Linked DNA regions of Struthio camelus. The protein of the gene in region 3 purifies or fractionates together with the protein of the main gene of each other region. This does not show direct contact. Links are inferred from orthologs where the notes say so. Each region holds a gene or a part of one and is shown on either strand. Other genes may lie near its edges.

What was found. Proteins that work in one complex are often made in the same cells at the same time.
Region 1: the proteins of PSMA5 (region 3) and PSME1 purify together in Homo sapiens (co-immunoprecipitation; 5 studies listed by BioGRID and IntAct, with this or other methods). This does not show direct contact. The link is inferred for Struthio camelus from reciprocal best matches to the Homo sapiens genes PSMA5 and PSME1.
Region 2: the proteins of PSMA5 (region 3) and FBXO7 purify together in Homo sapiens (affinity purification with mass spectrometry; 3 studies listed by BioGRID and IntAct, with this or other methods). This does not show direct contact. The link is inferred for Struthio camelus from reciprocal best matches to the Homo sapiens genes PSMA5 and FBXO7.

Annotation. Positions count from the first base shown.
Region 1 is NC_090970.1:244,320-252,036, reverse strand, and holds the start of PSME1 (proteasome activator complex subunit 1), read left to right. Parts: upstream 1-4,715; 5' UTR 4,716-4,780; coding exon 4,781-4,795; intron 4,796-4,971; exon of another isoform or gene 4,972-5,330; intron 5,331-5,394; exon of another isoform or gene 5,395-5,930; intron 5,931-6,880; exon of another isoform or gene 6,881-6,910; intron 6,911-6,929; coding exon 6,930-7,025; intron 7,026-7,717. UniProt on the Homo sapiens protein: Implicated in immunoproteasome assembly and required for efficient antigen processing. The PA28 activator complex enhances the generation of class I binding peptides by altering the cleavage pattern of the proteasome.
Region 2 is NC_090942.1:61,036,954-61,044,567, reverse strand, and holds the start of FBXO7 (F-box only protein 7), read left to right. Parts: upstream 1-4,612; 5' UTR 4,613-4,926; coding exon 4,927-5,090; intron 5,091-5,693; coding exon 5,694-5,994; intron 5,995-7,614. UniProt on the Homo sapiens protein: Substrate recognition component of a SCF (SKP1-CUL1-F-box protein) E3 ubiquitin-protein ligase complex which mediates the ubiquitination and subsequent proteasomal degradation of target proteins and plays a role in several biological processes such as cell cycle, cell proliferation, or maintenance of chromosome stability.
Region 3 is NC_090965.1:4,151,313-4,159,029, reverse strand, and holds the start of PSMA5 (proteasome subunit alpha type-5), read left to right. Parts: upstream 1-4,717; 5' UTR 4,718-4,844; coding exon 4,845-4,873; intron 4,874-6,168; coding exon 6,169-6,235; intron 6,236-7,717. Other genes in the region: SYPL2 (synaptophysin-like protein 2), read right to left, coding at 1-94, 176-377, 865-989, 1,772-1,843, 2,516-2,566. UniProt on the Homo sapiens protein: Component of the 20S core proteasome complex involved in the proteolytic degradation of most intracellular proteins. This complex plays numerous essential roles within the cell by associating with different regulatory particles.

The sequences.
Region 1 (7,717 bases), on a different chromosome or scaffold from region 3:
GAAGGGGCCCAGGCATCCGGGGAAGGGGCCCAGGTGTCCGGGGAGGGACCCAGGTGTCCGGGGGAGGGGCCCAGGCATCCGGGGAAGGGGCCCAGGCGTCCGGGGAAGGGGCCCAGGCATCCGGGGAGGGGCCCAGGCGTCCGGGAGGGGCCCAGGCGTCCGGGGAAGGGGCCCAGGCATCTGGGGAAGGAGCCCAGGTGTCCAGGGGAGGGGCCCAGGCGTCCGGGGAAGGGGCCCAGGCGTCCGGGGAGGGGCCCAGGCGTCCGGGGAAGGGGCCCAGGTGTCCGGGGGAGGGGCCCAGGCGTCCGGGGAGGGGCCCAGGCATCCGGGGAAGGGGCCCAGGTGTCCGGGGGAGGGGCCCAGGCGTCCGGGGAGGGGGCCCAGGTGCCCGGGGAGGGGCCCAGGTATCTGGGGAGGGGCCCAGGCATCCGGGTGAGGGGCCCAGGCGTCCGGGGAGGGGGCCCAGGCATCCGGGGAAGGGCCCAGGTGTCCGGGGGAGGGGCCCAGGTGTCCGGGGAGGGGCCCAGGCGTCCGGGAAGGGGCCCAGGTGTCCGGGAAGGGGCCCAGGCGTCTGGGGAAGGGGACCAGGTGTCCGGGGAGGGGCCCAGGCATCCGGGGAAGGGACCCAGGCATCCGGGGAAGGGGCCCAGGTGTCCGGGGAAAGGGCCCAGGTGTCCGGGGAAGGGGCCCAGGTGTCTGGGGAGGGGCCCAGGAGTCCGGGAAGGGGGCCCAGGCGTCTGGGGAGGGGCCCAGGCATCCGGGGAAGGGGCCCAGGTGTCCGGGGAAAGGGCCCAGGTGTCCGGGGAAGGGGCCCAGGTGTCTGGGGAGGGGCCCAGGTGTCCGGGGAGGGGCCCAGGCGTCCGGGGAAGGGGCCCGGGTGTCTGGGGAGGGGCCCAGGAGTCCGGGAAGGGGGCCCAGGCGTCCGGGGGAAGGGGCCCAGGCATCCGGGGAAGGGGCCCAGGTGTCCGGGGAAAGGGCCCAGGTGTCCGGGGAGGGGCCCAGGTGTCTGGGGAGGGGCCCAGGTGTCCGGGGAGGGGCCCAGGTGTCCGGGACAGGGGACCCAGGTGTCCGGGGAGGGGCCCAGGCATCCGGGAGAGGGGCCCAGCCGTCCGGGGGAGGGGCACAGGCATCTGGGGGAAGGGGCCCAGGTGTCCAGGGAGGGGCCCAGGCATCCGGGGAGGGGCCCAGGCGTCCGGGGAGTGGGCCCAGGCATCCGGGGAAGGGGCCCAGGTGTCCGGGGAAGGGGCCCAGGCATCCGGTGAAGGGACCCAGGTGTCCGGGGGAGGGACCCAGGTGTCCGGGGAGGGGGCCCAGGTGTCCGGGGGAGGGGCCCAGGCATCCGGGGAAGGGGCCCAGGTGTCCGGGGAGGGGCCCAGGCATCCGGGGAAGGGGCCCAAGCGTCCGGGGAAGGGACCCAGGCATCCGGGGAAGGGGCCCAGGCATCCGGGGGAGGGGCCCAGGCGTCCGGGGGAGGGGCCCAGGCGTCCGGGCGAGGGACCCAGGCGTCCGGGGAGGGGCCCAGGTGTCCGGGGAGGGACCCAGGCATCCGGGGAGGGGCCCAGGTGTCCGGGGAGGGACCCAGGCGTCCGGGGAAGGGACCCAGGCGTCCGGGAAAGGGAAGCATGCATCCAGGGGAGGGGGGCCCAGGCATCCGGCCCCCCCCCCCCCCACCATCTCCCCACTCCGACCCGCCATCTTCCCCCCCCCCCCCCCCGTCTCCCGCAGGCGCCTGGTGGCCTCGGCCGGCGGCTGGACGGCCCTGCTGGCCGGGGGGCTGCTGGTGGCCGCTTGGCCCCTGGCCCGGCCGGGGGGCGGCCGCCGAGGCGCCCTGCTGCGAGCCGGCGGCCGCTTGGCCGTGGCGGCCGGCCTGGCCCGCGCCGCCCCCCGCCTCTTCGCCGCCCTCGAAGCCGCCACCGGCCGCTGCCTGCCGGCCGCCCGCCGCCGCGGCCTCCCGCCGCCCCCGGCCCAGGCCGACCCCGGCGCCTGCCGGGCCGGCGGCCACCGCTGGGAGGGTCTCGCCGTCTCGCCCCAGGCCTTCGCCCTGGTGCACTGCGGCCTGGGCCTGGCCGAGGAGGCCGCCGCCTTGGGCCGCCTCTTGCACCCGCCGCCGGGGCCCAGGCGTCCGGCTGCCCGGGCCCCCGCCCCCTTTTGGGCTCCTCGTTTGCTGCTCCCTGTCCGCGAGCTTCCCCGAGGGCCCAGGCGTCCGGGCTTCGGCTCCTCGTCTCCGCTCCGCTGGGCCCAGGAGTTCGAGGGGCCCGGGCGTCCGGGTGCGATCTCGTCGTCCTGGCCCTGGGGGGCCCAGGAGTCCGAGGGGCCCGGGCGTCCGGGTGCGATCTCGTCGTCCTGGCCCTGGGGGGCCCAGGAGTCCGAGGGGCCCGGGCAGCTGTGGGGGGCCCAGGAGTCCGAGGGGCCCAGGCGTCCGGGCGTTCGGGGAACAGAGGCGGAGGAGGAGGAGGAAGGGCCCAGGCGTCCGGGCACGGCCCTCTGCCTCCTCTTCCTGCTCAACGTGGCGCTGCTGCTGCTGTGGCACGGGCTGCTGGCGGCCACGCTGGCCTACCGGCACGACTGGGCCTGCAACGCCGCCGGCGCCGGCCTGGGCTGGGCCGCCTGGGCCCTCACCTACCGCCTCTGGTACCGCTGCCCCTGCTCGCCCGGCCGCCCCGGCCTGGGCCTGCAGCCCCGCTGAGGGGCCCCGGCGTCCGGGAGGGGCCCCGGCGTCCGGGAAGGGCCCAGGCGTCCGGGCGACCCTACGCGCAACAAGGCGCGCCCGGGCATCTGGGTAGGACCTAGGCGTCCGGGAGGGGCCCAGGCGTCCGGGCGACCCAGGCAATGGGGTTACCCGTACATCTGGGAAGGGCCCAGGCGTCCGGGAGGGGCCCAGGCGTCCAGGCGACCCAGGCAATGGGGTTACCCGTACATCTGGGAAGGGCCCAGGCGTCCGGGAGGGGCCCAGGCGTCCGGGTGACCCAGGCAATGGGGTTACCCGTACATCTGGGAAGGGCCCAGGCGTCCGGGAGGGGCCCAGGCATCTGGGAAGGGCCCAGGCGTCCGGGAGGGGCCCAGGCGTCCGGGCGACCCAGGCAATGGGGTTACCCGTACATCTGGGAAGGGCCCAGGCGTCCGGGAGGGGCCCAGGCGTCCGGGCGACCCAGGCAATGGGGTTACCCGTACATCTGGGAAGGGCCCAGGCGTCCGGGAGGGGCCCAGGCGTCCGGGTGACCCAGGCAATGGGGTTACCCGTACATCTGGGAAGGGCCCAGGCGTCCGGGAGGGGCCCAGGCGTCCGGGTGACCCAGGCAATGGGGTTACCCGTACATCTGGGTAGGACCTAGGCGTCCGGGAGGGGCCCAGGCGTCCGGGCGACCCAGGCAATGGGGTTACCCGTACATCTGGGAAGGGCCCAGGCGTCCGGGAGGGGCCCAGGCGTCCGGGCGACCCAGGCAATGGGGTTACCCGTACATCTGGGAAGGGCCCAGGCATCCGGGAGGGGCCCAGGCGTCCGGGTGACCCAGGCAATGGGGTTACCCGTACATCTGGGAAGGGCCCAGGCGTCCAGGAGGGGCCCAGGCGTCCGGGCGACCCAGGCAATGGGGTTACCCGTACATCTAGGAAGGGCCCAGGCGTCCGGGAGGGGCCCAGGCGTCCGGGTGACCCAGGCAATGGGGTTACCCGTACATCTGGGTAGGACCTAGGCGTCCGGGAGGGGCCCAGGCGTCCGGGCGACCCAGGCAATGGGGTTACCCGTACATCTGGGAAGGGCCCAGGCGTCCGGGAGGGGCCCAGGCGTCCGGGTGACCCAGGCAATGGGGTTACCCGTACATCTAGGAAGGGCCCAGGCGTCCGGGAAGGGCCCAGGCGTCCGGGCGACCCAGGCAATGGGGTTACCTGTACATCTGGGAAGGGCCCAGGCGTCCGGGAGGGGCCCAGGCGTCCGGGAAGGGCCCAGGCGTCCGGGCGACCCTACGCGCAACAAGGCGCGCCCGGGCATCTGGGTAGGACCTAGGCGTCCGGGAGGGGCCCAGGCGTCCGGGCGACCCAGGCAATGGGGTTACCCGTACATCTGGGAAGGGCCCAGGCGTCCCGGAGGGGCCCAGGCGTCCGGGCGACCCAGGCAGTGGGGTTACCCGTACATCTGGGAAGGGCCCAGGCGTCCGGGAGGGGCCCAGGCGTCCGGGTGACCCAGGCAATGGGGTTACCCGTACATCTGGGAAGGGCCCAGGCGTCCGGGAGGGGCCCAGGCGTCCGGGTGACCCAGGCAATGGGGTTACCCGTACATCTGGGAAGGGCCCAGGCGTCCGGGAGGGGCCCCGGTGTCCGGGAGGGGTGGGAGGGTGTCCTGGGAAGCCCCGAAAGCCCAGGGCAGCCACGTTTCCCGGAGGGGCCCAGGCGTCCGGGAGGGCGTCCCAGGACTCCCCCAAAACCCCGGCCATGCCCCGGCAAGGGCCCAGGCGTCCGGGCGAGCCGATCTCAGCGATGGCCCCCCCTGCCCCCCCGCCAGGCCCCTTGGCGGGGACGGGGGGGCCCAGGCGTCCGGGTGAGGTGGGGGCCCAGGCGTCCGGCTTGGGGTGGGGGGATGGGACTGCCCCCCCCCCCGCTACCTGGACCGGGAACCCCGGGAATAAAACGTGTTGTTTTGGGGTGGTTTCGGGTAATTTTTTTCCCCTTTTTTTTTTTTCCGGGGGGGCCCAGGCGTCCGGGGGGGGCGGGGCGCACTGGCCCCGCCCCCCCCCCCCACGCGGGGAACCCCCGAGCTTTCGCTTTCGCTCTCGCTGCTGCCCCCATGGCTGCACCGCAGGTCCGGGGGGGGGCCCAGGCGTCCGGGCCGGGGGGGGGCCCAGGCGTCCGGGGCATGTCCGGGCAGCTCGGCTTGGGGAGGGAAGGAGGGGGCCCAGGCGTCCGGGAGCGGGGCCGGGGTTGGGGGGGGGGAGGGGAGCGGAGAGGGAGCAGGTGTCCGAACGGGGAGGGGCCCAGGCGTCCGGGGAAGGGGAGGGGAAGAGAGAGGCTGCAGAGGGGCGGGGCAGGGGCCCAGGCGTCCGGGCTTGAGGGGGTCGTAGGGGCCCAGGTGTCCGGGGTGTGGGGTGGTGGGGCCCAGGCGTCCGGGTGGCGAGTTGCAGTGGGGCCCAGGCGTCCGGGTGGCGGGACCCAGGCATCTGGGTGGTGGGGCGGATGTGGGGCCCAGGCGTCCGGGGTGCGGGTTGTGGTGGGGCCCAGGCGTCCGGGGTGCAGGGTGGGTGTGGGGCCCAAGTGTCTGGGTGGCGGGTTGCAGTGGGGCCCAGGCGTCCGGGCAGTGGGTTGCAGTGGGGCCCAGGCGTCCGGGCAGCGGGACCCAGGCATCTGGGCGGTGGGGCGGATGTGGGGCCCAGGCGTCCGGGGTGTAGTGGATGTGGGGCCCAGGCATCTGGGCAGCGGGGTGGATGTGGGGCCCGGGTGTCCAGGCAGTGGGGTGTGTGCAGGGCCCAGGCGTCCGGGTGGCAGGTTGCAGTGGGGCCCAGGCGTCCGGGCGGTGCAGGGTCCGGGCGGAGGGGCGGGTTGTGGCAGGGCCCAGGCGTCCGGGTGGCGGGGTGTGTGCAGGGCCCAGACGTCTGGGGTGCAGGGTGGGCGTGGGGCCCAGGCGTCCGGGTGGTGGGGCCCAGGTGTCCGGGGTGGTGCATGGCGAGTGCAGGGACCAGGTGTCTGGGTAGTGGGGCCCAGGCGTCCGGGGGGTGGGTTGCGGCAGGGCCCAGGCGTCCGGGTGGCGGGTTGTGGTTGGGCCCAGGCGTCCGGGGTGCAGGGCGAGTTGTTGTGGGGCTCAGGTGTCCGGGGTGACAGGGCCCAGGTGTCCGGGTTGCAGGGTGGGTAGTGGCGGGGCCCAGGCATCTAGGGTGCAGGATGGGTAGCAGTGGGGCCCAGGTGTCCGGGGAAGGAGCCCAGGTGTCCGGGGAGGGGCCCAGGTGTCCGGGGAGGGGCCCAGGCGTCCGGGAAGGGGCCCAGGAGTCCAGGGGAAGGAGCCCAGGTGTCCGGGGAAGGGACCCAGGCGTCCGGGGAGGGGGCCCAGGTGTCCGGGGAAGGGGCCCAGGTGTCTGGGAGGGGGCCCAGGTGTCTGGGGAGGGGCCCAGGCGTCCGGGGAAGGAGCCCAGGTGTCCGGGGAGGGGCCCAGGTGTCCGGGGAGGGGGCCCAGGTGTCCGGGGAGGGGGTCCAGGTGTCCGGGGAAGGGGCCCAGGTGTCCAGGGAAGGGACTCAGGTGTCTGGGGAAGGGGCCCAGGCGTCCGGGAAGGGGCCCAGGTGTCCGGGGAGGGGCCCAGGTGTCCGGGGAAGGGGCCCAGGCGTCCGGGGAGGGGCCCAGGCGTCCGGGGAAGGGGCCCAGGCGTCCGGGGAGGGGGCCCAGATGTCTGGGGAGGGGCCCAGGCGTCCAGGGAAGGGACCCAGGTGTCCAGGGAAGGGGCCCAGGTGTCCGGGTGCGGGGCCCAGGCGTCCGGGGAAGGGGCCCAGGTGTCCGGGGAGGGGGCCCAGGTGTCCGGGGATGGGCCCAGGCGTCCGGGGAGGGGACCCAGGTGTCCGGAGAAGGGGCCCAGGTGTCCGGGGAAGGAGCCCAGGTGTCCGGGGAAGGGGCCCAGGCGTCCGGGGATGGGCCCAGGTGTCTGGGGAGGGACCCAGGTGTCCGGGGAGGGGCCCAGGCGTCTGGGGAAGGGGCCCAGGTGTCCGGGGAAGGGGCCCAGGCGTCCGGGGAGGGGGCCCAGGTGTCCGGGGAGGGACCCAGGTGTCCGGGGAGGGGCCCAGGCGCGCGGGCGCGGGGCCCAGGCGTCCGGGGAAGGGGCCCAGGTGTCCAGGGAAGGGGCCCAGGTGTCTGGGGAGGGACCCAGGTGTCCGGGGAGGGGCCCAGGCGCGCGGGCGCGGGGCCCAGGCGTCCGGGCGCGGGCCCAGGCGTCCGGGCAGAGCCGCGGTGCCGGCAGGAGGAGGCCCTGCGCGCCCGGCTGGCGGCCCAGGTGCAGGCGCTGTTGGGCGCCGGGTTCCCGGCCAAGGTGGCCGAGCTGCAGGCGCTGCTGGAGGTGCCGGGGGGCGGGGCCTGTGGGGCGGGGGCGGGGCCTGTGGGGCGGGGGGTGGGATCTATGGGGCCGGGGGCGGGATCTATGGAGCTGGGGGGGGGTCTGTGGGGCTGGGGGCGGGGCCTGTGGGGCCGGGGGTGGGATCTATGGGGCAGGGGGCGGGATCTATGGGGCAGGGGGCGGGGTCTGTGGGGCCGGGGGTGGGATCTATGGGGCCGGGGGCGGGATCTATGGGGCAGGGGGCGGGGTCTGTGGGGCTGGGGGGGGTCTGTGGGGCTGGGGGGGGTCTGTGGGGCGGGGGACGGGGTCTTTGGGGCTGGGGCTGGGATCTATGGGGGCCCCATGGGGCAGCAGAGGGTCTTTGGGGTCGCTATGGGGCAGAGGAGGGGCCCTATGGGGCTCAGGAAGGTCTACGGGGTCTCTATGGGGCTTCTATGGGGCAGCAGAGGGTCTTTAGGGTCCCTATGGGGCAGGGGAGGGGCTCTATGGGGCACAGGAAGGTCTATGGGGTCTCTATGGGGCAGGGGAGGGTCAATGGGGTCTCCATGGGGCAGAAGAGGGTCTCCAGGAGGTTTCTATGGGGCAGAAGAAGGTCCATGAGGTCCCTATGGGGCAGGGGAGGCTCTATGGGGTCCCTATGGGGCAGGGGAGGGTCTCTATGGGGCAGAGGAGGGTTTCTATGGGGTCTCCGTGGG
Region 2 (7,614 bases), on a different chromosome or scaffold from region 3:
GAAAGAGAACAGGGCTGTCAATGGCCGCGCTGCCTACTCCTACTATGAAAAAGTAGACTGCAATCTCTGAATAAATCCAGGAAAATATGGTGGTGGCCAAAAAAGGCCTGAAGCAGTATGAAAAGGCCCAGAAAACCCACTGAAAGGTCCCTTGCTCCCATTTGAACAAGTACTTTCATGAGAAGTAGATTAAAGCAGTCAAGAGCTATGTGAACAAGATCCACAGACTGCATAAGGGCCCTATGTAGGCCGCTGATCTGAGATGCTTGTAAAGCACACCTCCACCAAATGTGTTAGTTATAGACCAATAGCATGAAGGGCTTTAAAATGCCTTTTAGGAGTGAAGTTGTCCACTATCAAGCTGCGAGAAGCTAAGAGGTCCTTTCCACTGGCTTTGATTTGAATGTCCTCCAGTGGCACGCTCAAAATGGTACTTCAGACTATCGCACTTCTGTGACATGAGATCACAAATTTCCCGACAATGCTCCAGTCTCCAGCCCCTTCTCTTGCTCATTTTACCACTTCTCAGTGTGACCCTAGTCACTCAAAATATCAGTATCAAAAGAGTTAATATACATACACATATATGTACTTAATATATATGTATTATAAAACAAGATCTTTACAGTGGCAAATACAGAAAGAAAAACAATGGAAAAAATCCACTGGCTCACAGCCTTATTACTGTACTCAGCTTTCAGAAAAAAAATATGTTCCATGAGGTAAGTAATTGAACCAAAAGGACCTTTACTTTTTATAGTTTTACCCTGCCATGGGAAGTTGACTGCAGGTCAACAGGACTACAGCTGTATCAGGTTTCAAATTTCTCAAGTAAAACCTTAACATTATTGCTAACGGTGCAGTTTTACCACTTAGGTGGAAGGGGTTCTATTGCCTGTGTTTTATACTGACCATGTGAAAAAAAACCCTGAGTAAAAAATGTTGAGTTGAGGAAACATATTATACTTAACAACCATTTTGTGTTACTTCAAGTTGCATACGAATGCTGAAAATAACTTTCTTTTTCTATCACATTGTTTTTTTAGTCTAATTTGTTAAAGAAGAATATACAATCATCATATCTGACACTGGCATACCATGCTGAAAGTCAAAATTCTGCATACAACCATTTCTTCAAGCTTGTAAGAACACAAGTTCCTTGTGCTACCTTGGTACAATGACTTTCCTAGCCTGAGGTCAAGCTCATACTTGGCCATACTCTCTCTTGCCTACAGAAAGAGACAAAACTCAAAAAGGTGGAGAAAATAACACCAACTATCAGCTCTTTCAGATAGATGTGGGAGGAAAAAGAAAGCAGTACTTCTGACTCCCTCAAACTGTAATTTTTGGTTTAGCTTAAATTATTTTTTTATTTCAGTCAACTTGAAATCAATCCCAATCAAAAGCCTTTTTGTGGCCTTTTGAGGCTGCGAGGAGGAGTCTGAAACATTGTCAATAGTTTCACTCCATCAGTCAAACCTCAGAAGCAGAGATTGGCAGGTTGTACTTGCACCTTGATGATGGTGGTTCTAGGTCAGCTGAATTTGGCACAGACAAACATTAAAGCTGTACAGCATGTTTTAGGCTTTTACCATAATTGTTTCTTAGGAGATTTTCCTGTTTAATACTGCTGTGTGAAGAGTAGGTCTGAACCTTGCATTGTGGCATGACTCATGAAATTCAAAAAAACATTTAGCAAAATGCCAGCAAAAGTGCTCACTTGCAAATGGTGTAGCTGGTTACCTAATAATGAATAGCATGGCCGGAGCCTGAGGAATTGAACCTTCTTACTTCACACAACTACCTTAGCTTGTGCAAGCTACTTAAATGGTGCTTCTGCTGGAAACATCGCAACGGTACTCATCAACGTTTCTCAGACTAGGGGAGTCCCCTCCTCCCTTCCTAAAGGAGAACGTGGACTGAGCAGCCCTGGGGCCAATGGGAACGCAGGAGGTGGCTGGGACAGAGACAACGCTAAAGAGCAAAACACAGCAGGAGGCCTGTGGCCACTGGGAAGCTGTCCCACTGTTCAGGCACCAGCATGACTCATTTTGGATGCAGCCCTCTCCAAGAGAGAGGAATGCAGTTTCTGGCAGGCATGGTGCTCTTGACTGCTCCCCAAATATTCTCTTCATTTCTATCTTCTTTGTCCCTGCCTTTGCCACTTCCTTCTAGTCACACACCCCTCTGCCACAGCAACCCACCCTTCCGGCATCTGTCCACAGTGTGGCCCCATTTGATGACTATTGCATAAGTAGTTCTCAAATTGGGGCTGTCATAAAAGGGTCAGTAAGCCCCTCATGAAACAACTTGTTTTAATGTTCTCATTAAAGGACCAGGTGTGCAAGACAAGGTTGAGCACAAGCACCAGTTCTTTCATTGTTGACTGAATGGTATTTTTCCATTTCCGTAAAGTGCCTTTGTCATTCCTTTTGTCTTCTTCTTCCATACGCCCTCTCCTTTCCCCTGAGAAGTTTAAGATATTGAAAACAGATGATGGTTGCCCAAATATGCCCATAGGTGTATTTGACACCAAACTCTGAAGTGAAATGCAACAGCCACATTTACCTCAGTTGAATGACCATGTTCAGATGACAGAAGAACTAGCCTGAGATTTCAACCATAGCCCAGAACAGGTTTTGTGAAGTTTCATTCTCCTGTTTGCACCTGTCCCCAGAAGGACTAAAACAAGAGAGAGAGGCCTTTCCTATGAATACTGGAGATATGCAATGTAAATAGCACCAGAATAAGCAGCTGTACTTGGTGGCAGCTGTACAGACTGTTTCAAATTCACTTCACCTAGCACTACTCTTTTATTATACTCCTACAGAGTATTCTAGGCTTGCTATACCTCATTCATATTTTCCTCTCTCCATGTAAGGAACGTATCTTCATAAATGGATGCCCTGTTTCTGCTCTCAACAGGCCTAAGATTTCTTCGTGTTCATAACTGCATCTGAAGGGAAAAAACAAAAAACAAAACCACCAAAAAACAAGATAACTTTTGTACACAGATTATCTCTGAACTCACACTGAAGGGATTTGTTCTCCTTAAAGGATTAATATAAGTCATTAAACAAAGTAAACAACTTGAATAATCTGTGCCCACCTTTTACATTTTTCCTACCAGACTTTCTGAAAAAAGTATTTTTTTAGATAAAAGCAGAAGTTTATTTTTTACATCTAAGGCGTGGAGGGAGGCCTTTTTTGAGTAGCACTGACTATGAAAGTAGAATAGAACATTAGAAAAGTTTGCTGTACTTTGTATTTTTGCTAAGGACATAGCAACATTTGACTACAGGTCTAATACATTACCTCTACGATGACAGTTCACCAGTGTACCTTGGGGGGAGGGGGGGAAGAGTCATACTCAGTGCCCTCCCTCAGCCTTTCCCCTAGATCATCTGTTTCCATGAGCTTTGCCTGCACAGAGTTTAATACCCAAACAGGAACAGGCTCCTTAATACCTTTTTAGAATGATATCTAAAAGGGCCTCAAAATTGGAGGCGAGGCAAAACCGAACTACTCAGCACACAGGCAGGCAACCAATCTGCAGAAATCATTCCCGTTACTCCTTCCAGGCGGGGAAGGGGATAACCTTGGAATAACAACAGAGAAGCAACCCAAAACAACAGTACCACCAGAGGTCCCCTCACCTCCCCCCCCCCCCCGAAGGCGGAAAAAAGAGAGGAGGAAGGGCGGGTACATCCGCGTCGGCGCATGCGCAGCAGGCACAGCCCGAGCGCCCAATCACCGATGGCGTCGCGCAGGCACAGCGTGGAAGCCTGAGGCATCGATCGGCCGCGCTGCTCTTGGGTGCGCGATTGCGGGGGGGGGGGGGGAGGGGCGGCGCAACTCGGGCCCGCCGGGGCGGGGCGGCTCCGCGCTGGGGCGGCGCCGCGCCAACCAAAACAACGACACGCCCCGGCAGCCCTTGCGCCCGCTGCCACCATCACCGCCGCCCGGCGGGGCCAGCTCGGAGCGCCAGGCGGGCGCGGAGACCCGCCGCCGCCATCATCATGAAGCTTCGCGTCCGCCTGCAGAAGCGGACGGCGCCGCTGGAGGTGCAGGGGGCGGAGCCAACGCTGGGGGAGCTGCGCGCGCAGCTGCGCCAGGCCGTGCTGCCCGCCTGGGGGTACAGGTAACGTGCGGAGCGAACCATCGCCGAAGGGAGGGGAAGGGAAGGGAAGGGGGGGGCTGGCGGGGCCGTACCACGCGGCGCGGGGGGAGGGGGGAAGAGAGAGGGAGGGGAAGGGCCCCGGCGAGCGGCGGCGCTGCTGCCCCCTGTGGGCGGCGGGAGCGGGACGCCGGGCCGGGCCGGGCGGCGGGACCGGCCGGTGCTGCGTAACCGGCTCCGTCGCGAGTGCCGGGTTTGGGAGGGCTGTGTGGGGAGACCCCGCTGGGCCTCGCTAGGGCAGGAGCCGGCGGGGGAGGGCGGCGCAGCGGCGTCGCCTGAACGTTGCCGGGGGGTGGGGGGGCGTGAGGTTAAAGGCCTGCAGCTCCGGGGGTTTTAGTCACTTCGCGAGACCGTGTCGAAGGCTGCTAAAGCTCACAGAGCACTTGGTAAAAGTCACTGCCCTCCTTCGGGCACACCTTCCAGCTGCGTTTTCCCCGGGTAGCACAGGGCTGGTAGGGCTGGTAGGTCACGGAAACTTCAGTTACGTTTCGGTTGCCGAGCGTTAACGGTCGCTCCGGCACGCGCAGCGCGCTTCGGCCCGTGCCCGCCCTTGAAACGCGGGGCGCAGCTCGGCCGGAGCTGGCTTGTATTGCTCGGTGGCGCTGATGTTACAAAGAGTTGCGGCTGGATGTCTGTTTTACAGTTTTGTGGCTTTCTTAGAGGCTCTCTGGGTTTAGACTTCATAAAAGGTTTTTTACGTGTGAAGAACTCATGACAACGTTTATAGGAGGATAAAACCTGTTAAGGTAATGGAAGAGCTGCCTACAGAAGAAACTCCTTTTCTAGTAGCGTGGAAACAGTTTGTAGTCACAAATCTGTCACCGGGTATGAGGATGAAACTCATGTTTCATTGGCAGTACGTACATTCGATGGCACTGCACTGTACAGCATACCACCGTAGGCTGGAGTTATTGTACGTCCTGCCGTGCTGGGTATATTTTTGTAGTTGGTACTTGATAACGGTTTTCATGCTAACCACGTTCATGTTTATTTTATTTTTTTGTAATTGCTTGCGCTGAAGCAGCTTTTCTTACTGCCCACATCTGTAATTGCCATGCTGGAGGGCAGCTGCTGACCTTTTGAAGCAAATGTTTTGTTAATCGGAAAGCAAGGTGATTTGAATCTGCAATAGTGTCCTGTTTTTAAGTGATCTGAGTCAGTGGTTTATTTAACACTTGTTTTATTAGGTTGAATATGTTTAATTTGGAAGGCACCTGTTTGCTTTCCTTCATATCTGTTTTATGAGCGGTTATTGCAGATGAAGTTATACCCACTAAGCAACTTCAGTTATTTAAAACACGCTTGGAGAGAAAAATGAGGGAATCACTTCATAGCATAACCCTTAGTTTTTCCCTGCTCTTCCTTTAAGTGTATAGCTAATTTTTAATGGATTAAAACCTGTGGAACAGTACTTAAGCAGTATGCAATATACATTTCTAATTCTACATTTCAATACCTGTGTTCAGTTACCCAGATGCAGCTAACCACACTTTATTTCTTTTCCATTACTTTCCAGTTATGACGCGCAGTTTTCAATAACACTGAACAACAAGGATGCTCTCACAGAAGACCAGAAGACCTTGGCTTCATATGGGATTGTTTCTGGTGATTTGATATGTTTATTACTAGAAGAAGCAGATGCAAAACCCAGCCTACCTCCTCCCTCATCTTCTACTCCTCCGCCACTCCAGAATGGTCATGAACCGTCCGCCTTGATCCCCAACAAAAGTCAGGCCAGCAGCCCAAAAGAAGAAAGGCAGAATGGGCTACCTGACAGCCAGAAGGCTCAGGCAGAAGTTCAAAAAAGTGATGATATGGTAAGTCTGAGAATTTGACCTGTACGACACAGGACAAGAAAGGAGGTATCTTACTGTGTCGGTTGCTGTACTTCATAGTAGAGAACCTTTTCAGAATATTTGATTCTTAATGTTTGCCTGAAGTATAGGTGGTTGGTTGGCTGTAAATTTGTCTCTCTTTTTTTTTTTTTTAGCTATGCCATAGAAGTTAATTCAGCAGCTCTGAGATGTTTCAGATTTGACACTTTTACAGGACTGTATGTTTTTGCTGGAACATGCACTTTTCTTAAGGAAGTTAGGAATATGTCTCTTGCCTACCTCAGTGCTGTCTTCTTGAGAAAACTGATTCTAGATACCAAATAAGTACAGCCTGTCTGAAATTCCACTCACTAGATAAGTGCATGATTCCTTTCTAATAGTTATTACAGTTCCCTGTGAGTCAGGGGCCTATCGTAGAGCAAGAGACCTGTCTGGTTCTGCATGAAGTTTGGGTTGCTGAAATAGCTCCCACCTCATGCTTCACAGATATACATCTGTGTGACCCCGCGTTCCTGGTGCAGCTGAAAGGCACATCTTTTGGATGCTTTGTTAAGATTTTTCCTGTTTGACAACAGACACAGTAGTTAAGCAGATAATAGCTCTTACCAACTACTGGAAGGAGTTAGTCTAGGAAGGAGTCTTTCTAGAGGAGACTCTGTGGGTACAGCCTAGTGCCATGGCGTATCTTGGTACAGGATCCTGTCCTTTTAGGGAGGAGCTTGCGACTCTGAGAAGTTGTTTTCCTGCATTCTTTGGAAGCAAGTAGTTCTGTGTTTTGGAACTAATTTCATATACAAAATATCCCTTAGTACAACCTTTATATGAGGAATTTTGATATGTATACTTTTAAAAATACTCTTTTGAAGTATGAAAATAAAATATAAAGTGAAAAGAATTGTCAGTCGTGAAAGAGAACGTAGTGGGACCATCGTCCTCTTCATTCCTATCAGGAGAAATAGCCCTCACATGGTGCTGTAGGCAGGCAAGCTGCTTGTGTCTGCCAATTGGACCATATTAAACTGTGCAGGAATTTGTTGTGCGTTTATCTAATTATTTGGAGGCAAGATGAAAAATTCTCAGGTTTTATTCCAAAATTGTGATGAAAGATAGCAGAAAAATTTCCAAGCAACTAAGTGGTATTTAAAAAAAAAAACCCTCTAGAAATCTGAAAAACTGTGTTGGGGCTACGTGCAATGCTGATAATGAGAGAAGGGAAGTTCCACAGATGGTTGGCTACACCGGCCTCATACAGACATGAGGGTGCATTGTGCCATTGAGGGTGGATGTGAGGGAGAAGTAGCTACAGCTCCTTTAGCTTCTTCCTCCCTTTCCTGCCCCTTCCTTCAGGTAGATCCGCCCATGGTTTTAATTTGCTAGGGTTTTTTGTTTTTTTTTTAGTGTGGGTCTAAGTAGTTTAATGGGAACGTGTAACAATAGAGTAAATTACGTAATAATATGATGTGATTTTTGGTAGAAGAAAGGAAGCCATAATAAAGTCACCATCGTCTTCAAGTCTCAGTAAATACTCTTTTGATTTTTTTTTTCCAGCTATTTAAATCTATTCTGTTCATAAGGAATCTGAGTTACAATTTTTGGTACTTG
Region 3 (7,717 bases):
GCCGCGTGGCCCCCTTGACGTCGCTGAGCCCCTTGCCCCACGCCGCCGCCGCCACCAGCCAGAAGAAGGCGAAGGAGACGGTCGCGCAGAAATCCTGCCGGGGACGAGCAGGAGCTGAGCGCCGTCGCCGGCCCGCCGGGGCCGCGCGGCGGGATCGGGCTCGGCGCCACCTTACCGCGAAGGGCAGCTTCTTATTTTCGCCGTAGAGGGAATGAAAGCGCAGGTAAAGCACCAGAGCCGCCATGGCGTAGAGGAAGGAGAAGACCCCCAGGGTCACGAAAAACTCGGCGGGCGCCGAGAAGTCGCCGACGAGGTGCAGGGTCTGGCTCTCGCCGGCGCCCTCGCAGTCCGGCATCTCGAAGGGCACCTGGTACAACCTGGGCGCAGCGGCAGAGCGATGCCGGCCGGCCGCCCGCTGCCGCCCTCCGGCTCGCGAGGCTCCTCGCAGCCTCGGCGCGCGCGCGCCGCGAGGCGAGCGGCCGGCCGGAGCGGGTCCACGCGATGCTCCCGGCTCCCCGAAACGACCCGGCAGAGCAGGACGGCGCTGGAGCATCCTGCCCCTATTAAAATCTCTATCGCCCGGCTGCGGGTGAGGGCAAGGGAGAGAGGAGAAAAAAAGCCCGTATCCACCCAAAACGCGCCGAATCCTGGATCCACCCGAAATGCACCAAAACCTATATCCACCCAAAACCGCCCCGCGCGCACGCCGGCACGCTCCCTCCTCCGCGGTGCCTCCACGCACTCCGGGAGCGCGGCCGCAACGCCGGGGGGGGGGGGACGAGGCCGGCGTCCCCAGGGGTCCCGGCCGGCGTCGGAGCAGCGGGTGCTCGCGCAGGACACCGGGGCCCGTCCCCGTGCCCTTACCGGAAAGGATACCCGAACTGCACCGAAATAGCGCTCATCTCTTTGGTTTCGCCGTTGCACTTCACCGTGGCCCCGCTCTCGCCGCTGAAGGAGCCGCAGGCCCCGAAGGCGAAGATGGCGAAAAGCTGGGAGAGAGCGACGGCGCGTCGGGCGCAGGATTTGGCCGCCGAGGCCGGCGGCGCTGAGTCACGGCGGCGGCGGCGGCGGGCTGCCACCCCGCAGCTGTCGGCCGCGGCGCGCCAGCTCCCGGAGAGGCCGAGGCGGGGGCGGCGGTCGCCCGCCCCGCGGCCCCCGCTGCGATTTTTTACGGTTCCCGCCGGGCCCCTCGGCGCGGGAAGCGGCGAGGAGCCTCCCTTGCCGCCCCCCCCACCCCGTCCCTGGCGCTCCCCGCCGGAGTTTTCCAGCACGCCGCCGCTGCCACCCCAGGGACGCACCCGCTGCCCCGAAATATAATCCGGCAACCATCCATCGCGCCCCCGGGGCGCCCGGCTTCCCCCATCGCTGCCCCCCCCATCCCAGGCGCGGGAACCCCCCGTGGCACCGCCGAAGCCCGCGGCCACCGCGGCACCTCGACGTCACCGTCCCCTCCGGCGTGGCCGGGCAAAGCCACCTGCTCAAGGTCACCGGGGAGGGCCGCGCGGCCGGACCCAGGCGTCCGGGCGGCCCCACGCCCGGCCTCGCCGGGACGTGCCCCCCCGGGGTGCCCCCCACCCAGCGCTGCTGGCACCCGGCGGGTCCCCTCGTCCCTGGGGGCTGTTGCAGGTCTTGGGAAAAGGACGGGTGACCCCGAAACCGCGCAACGCTGGAGCCCGGCTGGGGGGGAAGCGCCGCCACCCTGGGGTGCCGGGCAAGGGGCTGCGCCCGAGGGGCTCCCACGGGACGGGGACGGGGACCCGGGGGGACTCACCCACTGCAGCACTTTGATGAAGCCCAGGGGCTCCTGGAGGCGGCCCCAGCGCATCCCGCCCAGGACGCGGTCCTGCGGGGGAGAGCGGCCGTGAGCGCCGGGGGTGGCACCGGGGGGCTGCAGCAGGGGGTTGCACTGGGGGGGGTGCAACGGGGGGTTGCACTGGGGGGCTGCAACGGGGTGGCACTGGGGAGCTGCACTGGGGGGGCTGCAGAGAGGGGCTGCACTGGGGGGCTGCAACGGGGTGGTACTGGGGGGCTGCACTGGGGGGCTGCAATGGGGGTGGTACTGGGGGGCTGCAGCAGGGGGTGGCACTGGGGGGCTGCACTGGCGGTGGCACCGGGGGGCTGCAGCAGGGGGTTGCACTGGGGGGGGTGCAACGGGGGGTTGCACTGGGGGGCTGCAACGGGGTGGCACTGGGGAGCTGCACTGGGGGGGCTGCAGAGAGGGGCTGCACTGGGGGGCTGCAACGGGGTGGTACTGGGGGGCTGCACTGGGGGGCTGCAATGGGGGTGGCACTGGGGGGCTGCAGCAGGGGGTGGCACTGGGGGGCTGCACTGGCGGTGGCACCGGGGGCTGCACCGAGGGGTCGCACCGAGGGTGGCACCGGGGGGCTGCACCGGGGGGCTGCACCGGGGGCTTGCAATGGGGGGGTGGCACCGGGGGGGCTGCAGCGGGGGGCCGCAGCGGGGGGGCTGCCCCAGGCCACCGGGGGCTGCCCCGGGGGGCGCAGCGGGACCCTACCTGGAGCCGGGGCGTTTTGTCGCCGGCCGCGGGGGCGCCGGGCTCCGACATGGCCGGGCCGGGGGGGCCGTGGGCGCCGTCGGGGCTGCCTCCGCCGCCCGCTGCGGCCGCGCCGCTGTCCGAGCCGCCCCGGCGCCGCCGCCGGGAGCCCCCGCGGCCCCGGGCAGGGCCGCCCGCGCCGCCCCGCCCCGCCCCGCCTGGGCCCCGGCCCCCGCCGGGACGGCCCCCGGCCCGCCCCCCCGGGGCACCCCGGCCCGGCCCCGCCCCCGGCCCCGCCCCCCGGCCCGGCCCGGCCGCAGCGCGGCGGCTTCGGGCGGCCCCCGCGCCGCGCCGTCCAGCCGCCCGCCCGTTTCTCACTCCATCTGTCTATCTGCCCATCTCTCCGTGCGGCTGTCCATCCGTCCGTCTGTCCGTCCGCCTGTCCATCCATCCATCCTTCCATCCCTCCATCCATCCATCCGTCCGTCCGTCCATCCTTCCATCTGTCCATCCATCCTTCCATCTGTCCATCTCTCCATCCATCCATCCTTCCATCCCTCCATGCATCCATCCATCCGTCCATCCATCCTTCCATCTGTCCATCCATCCATCTGTCCATCCATCCATCCTTCCATCCATCCGTCCATCCATCCTTCCATCTGTCCATCCATCCATCTGTCCGTCTGTCCATCTCTCCATCCATCCATCCTTCCATCCCTCCATCCATCCGTCCATCCATCCTTCCATCTGTCCATCCATCCATCTGTCCATCCATCCATCCTTCCATCCCTCCATGCATCCATCCATCCGTCCATCCATCCTTCCATCTGTCCATCCATCCATCTGTCCATTCCTCCGTCCGTCCATCCATCCATCCATCTAACCATCCATCCGTCTCTCCATCTGTCTCTCCATCCGTCCATCCATCCTTCCATCTGTCCATCCATCCATCTCTCCTTCCGTCCATCCATCCATCCATCCATCCAACCATCCATCCGTCTCTCCATCTGTCTCTCCATCCATCCATCCATCCTTCCATCTGTCCATCCATCCGTCCATTTGTCCAACCATCCTTCCATCTGTCCGTCCATCCATCCTTCCATCCCTCCATCCATCCATCCATCCGTCCATCCGTCCATCCTTCCATCCGTCCATCCATCCTTCCATCTGTCCATCTCTCCATCCATCCATCCTTCCATCCCTCCATGCATCCATCCATCCGTCCATCCATCCTTCCATCTGTCCATCCATCCATCTGTCCATTCCTCCGTCCGTCCATCCATCCATCCATCTAACCATCCATCCTTCTCTCCATCTGTCTCTCCATCCATCCATCCATCCTTCCATCTGTCCATCCATCCATCCATCCATCCAACCATCCATCCGTCTCTCCATCTGTCTCTATGCCCGTCCATCCATCCTTCCATCTGTCCATCCATCCGTCCATCTGTCCATCCATCTCTCCTTCCGTCCATCCATCCATCCATCCATCCAACCATCCATCCGTCTCTCCATCTGTCTCTATGTCCGTCCATCCATCCTTCCATCTGTTCATCTGCCCATCCATCCATTCATCCATCTGTCCATCTGTCCGTCCACCCATCTGTCCACGTCTCGCTCCGCCAGCCCGTCAGCCCATCCATCCATCTCTCCGTCCTGCTGCCCCTCCATGCTCCCCCTGTCCACCCTCCCCTCCACCCACCATCACCCGTCTCTCCATTAGCCTCTCGGTCCCTCGCTCTGTCCCTCGGCGGGTGACACCGAGCGGGTGACACCGGCAGCGCCTGGGGCAGGAAGCGCCGTAGGGGAAGCGGAAGGGCAGGGTGGGGGCAGAGGGGGGTGGCCGGGGGTGGCAGCCGCACCCCGGGGGGCGGGGGGGTCACCCTGCCCCTCCCCCACCCTGCCCCACCCCCTTCTGCACTTCTCCGCCCCTCCCCCACTCCGCAGGCCCCGCCCCTCCCGCTGCTGCACCGGCCCCTCCCCCTCTGGGTGAGACTCGCCCCGCCCCCGTTCTGCCCTCGCACCTCCCCCAGTCTCCCTGGCCCCGCCCCTAGTCCTGGCCCCGCCCCCTGCACCGTCCCCGTCCCGCCCCTCTGGAGCGCCTCGACCAATCCCCGCTGGCGGCCGCTCTTGCCCCGCCCCCGAGCGCGGCGCGGGGTCCGCCCACCAGGACGGCCCAATGGGGCGGCGAGGCGAGCGGAAGCGGGCCGGCGGGGCGGGGCGGCGCCTGCGCGGTGGCGGGCGCCGGCAGGAAGTGGTGGGCAGCCCGGCGAGGGGAGAGCGGCGCTCCGGCCTGCGCCCGCACCAGCCGCCCGCCGCGCCCGGCCCCGCTCCCGCCGCCGCCGCCGCCATGTTCCTCACGCGCTCCGAGTACGACCGGTGAGTGCCCGCCGCCCCCCCCCCCCCCGCCGCCTCCCGCCTCCCCGGGCGGCCGCGGCCTGCGGCTGAGTCACGGGCCTGCTCCCGCCCGCGCCGTCTCCATGGCGACGGGCCGAGCCGGGCCCCGGCCCCGTCCCCGCCGCCGCCTCGCTGCCCCCGGGCCTGGCGGGGCCCCGGCCCGGCCCGAGCCCGCCAGCGGCGGGGCCAGCGCGGCCCTGCTGGCTCACGCCTGGGCCGCGCCGGCCCTGCCCGGCCGCCCGCGCCTGCGGCCGCTGCCCCCGAGCCGGCCCCGGCTCTCGTCTCTTCGCCCGATCCGCGCTCCTTCTCTTCCCTCCTTCCTCTCGCGCCTCCTTTCTTTTATTTATTTTTGTTTTAATGTGGGCTTTTTTTCCGTTTCCAGAGAGCCCTGCTCCGCCGGGTTCAAGGGCGGCCCTTGGCTGCCTCTCATGCTGCTAGAGAGCTCCCGGTTTCTGCCTTCTTAGCAGCGAGCCGAAAGGATTTCGGGGCCCTGGTGTGGCGGGGGGGGTGCGCTCTGGTTACACCAGGATCAGGGCCAACCAGTGGAAGTTCTGACTTGAGCGGTGTTACCCGCAGGCAGTGATTTCGTAAGGCTGTACCTTATCTTAGTAACTTGCTCGTAAGGCGAGGAAGGAGCTGAACGTTAGGAAACCTCTGGAAACGTTCTGCGTGTGGACGGACTTGTTGGCCGCGCTGTTGTTCTTGCTTACCAGCAAAATGTGTTTGGCTGAGGCCTGCTGGTACACAGATGGCCAGTGTTGCATCATTATCTCCATCCTTATCCAATATAATCGGAAGGGCATTAAAAGTCAGGTCGGGTTAGCATCTGGGGAGAGCAGCAATGGGATGCCCGAAGAAGGGAATGGATCTTTGTTTGGGCTAAGCAGAAGGCTGCTGTCTCCCGGAGCTGAAAGAAAGCATGCTGCTTGGACTCCAAAGACAGTTTACTTCCAGCTTCCACAACGTAAAGTATTTCACTAGATTAAACTTCCTTCTGACCTGTGATTAGATCTGCTGGAATTTCTTTCCTGTTTCTCTCTAAGTATCCTGGCTCCAGACCTTGCCAATGAGCCTCTGCCATCAGGGTGACAGGCTGCTGGGGTGAGGAGTATGAAGCGATAAAGTATTCCAGCTGCTGAAATGTGTTGCTCCTGTGTTACCTCCTCCTAGCCGGCCTGACCTGTACCCTCATCGCTCATGAACCCTCGAGGAACTGCGTTTCCTGACGGCCTGCAGTTTCCCGCCTCTTAATGCCATCTCTGATGTTGTTCTTGCAGGGGTGTGAACACCTTTTCTCCGGAGGGGAGGCTCTTCCAAGTGGAGTATGCCATTGAGGCCATTAAGGTACCGTGAGCTCTCTCATGCTACAACCGTATCAACTCTACCTGGGTGCTGAACTGTGATCTTGAGAACCCTCGCAAACGAGGAGCCTAAATTTGGACAGAGACACTGAAATAAATAGCAAACGCTCCCCTCCGCCAGTAGAAAACAAGCAAGCAACAAAATCCAACAGAGGCACATTCTGTTAGTTTGGGCTCTGGTCTTTCTCTATAGTAAAGCAGAACTTGGCCAACTTCCAAGGGTAATACGCAACACTGAGCAGGAGTTGGGAGATGCTGCCTGTTCTGATAGGTGCTGTTCTTGTATGTGACTTTTGGCAGCTCTTTGCTTCCTTTTATGTACAGTCTTTAGCAGAAGGGTTGTTTAATCTCTCCCATACAGCTGCTACGCTTCCTGTAGCTCTATTCTTCTATATTATAGTTCTTGAGGAATTTAAAAAACACTGCAGCTCAGGAGGAGGAAGCCGGGGAACGTTGCCCCCACCAATCTACTCCTAAAACAAATGCAATCCAAAGATGCTAATCCCAAAATCAGAACTACTAAAAACTATTGCTGAAGCTAGAGGTTTTGAATGTTTGTATGCCGTGAATCTTTAACTACAAAAGTTGACATCAGTAGGGTGACACTTAAATGTCCATAAATACTTCCCTAACAGCAAACAAGCGCTATGCTTTCTCCTAACTTTCCTGAGGTAATGGAGTGCTGCCTCTTGGTCCTTGTGCTTTATGGAGTCCCTTTAAAAAAACAGAGCAGCTTTTCTCTTGTTATTACCAACGTGACATTCCTTTTCTTAGCTTGGAGTTGGTCACGTTTTGCTCAAGTGAATTTTAAAACCTGATGGTAAAGGTGAGAGGTAGCGTGCCTATGAGCAAGCTAATCTACATCTGCAGAACTGATGGGCCTTTTGGGGGGCATTAAGCGTTCTTAAATAAGTGTTGTTCTTGTCCCTGAGAACTTGAAGATTGATTGGGAACAAGTTTAAACTTGGGGAAAAGTGTTCTGGGGGCTTTTAATGTAAATGATGAAGCAAAGAAGCTTTTAGTGGGCCTGTTTGGCCTGGGAGGAGGGTTGTTAGCCTTATCTTCCTCGTACACGTTAAGTTCATTGAAGCATTGCTTAAATGAGGAGTCAAAAAGTAATAAATCTTGCTTTTTAAGGAATTGTGAAGTGAGAGCTCTTAAATGGATGCAGTCATGATGCCATTGTGTTGTTGATAAAATACATCTTCTAGAGCAGAAATCTTCTGGAATCTTTCTGACTTTGCTCTTTTTCCAGATCAGTTGATAAGCTTACATATGAAACTGCCGCAACTCAGGTGGCTCTTCTGACATCCTAAGTGTGGTGTCTGTGTGTTAGGTTCTTAGGAGGAGCTTTTATTCGTGTGTGATAGCTTTATTAACAAACAGACATCTGAAGTGACATCAAGTATCCCTTCCTCACCTAAGACTTGTGCTCAGCTGCGTGCCTGAAGGGTGGCAGCCGTTG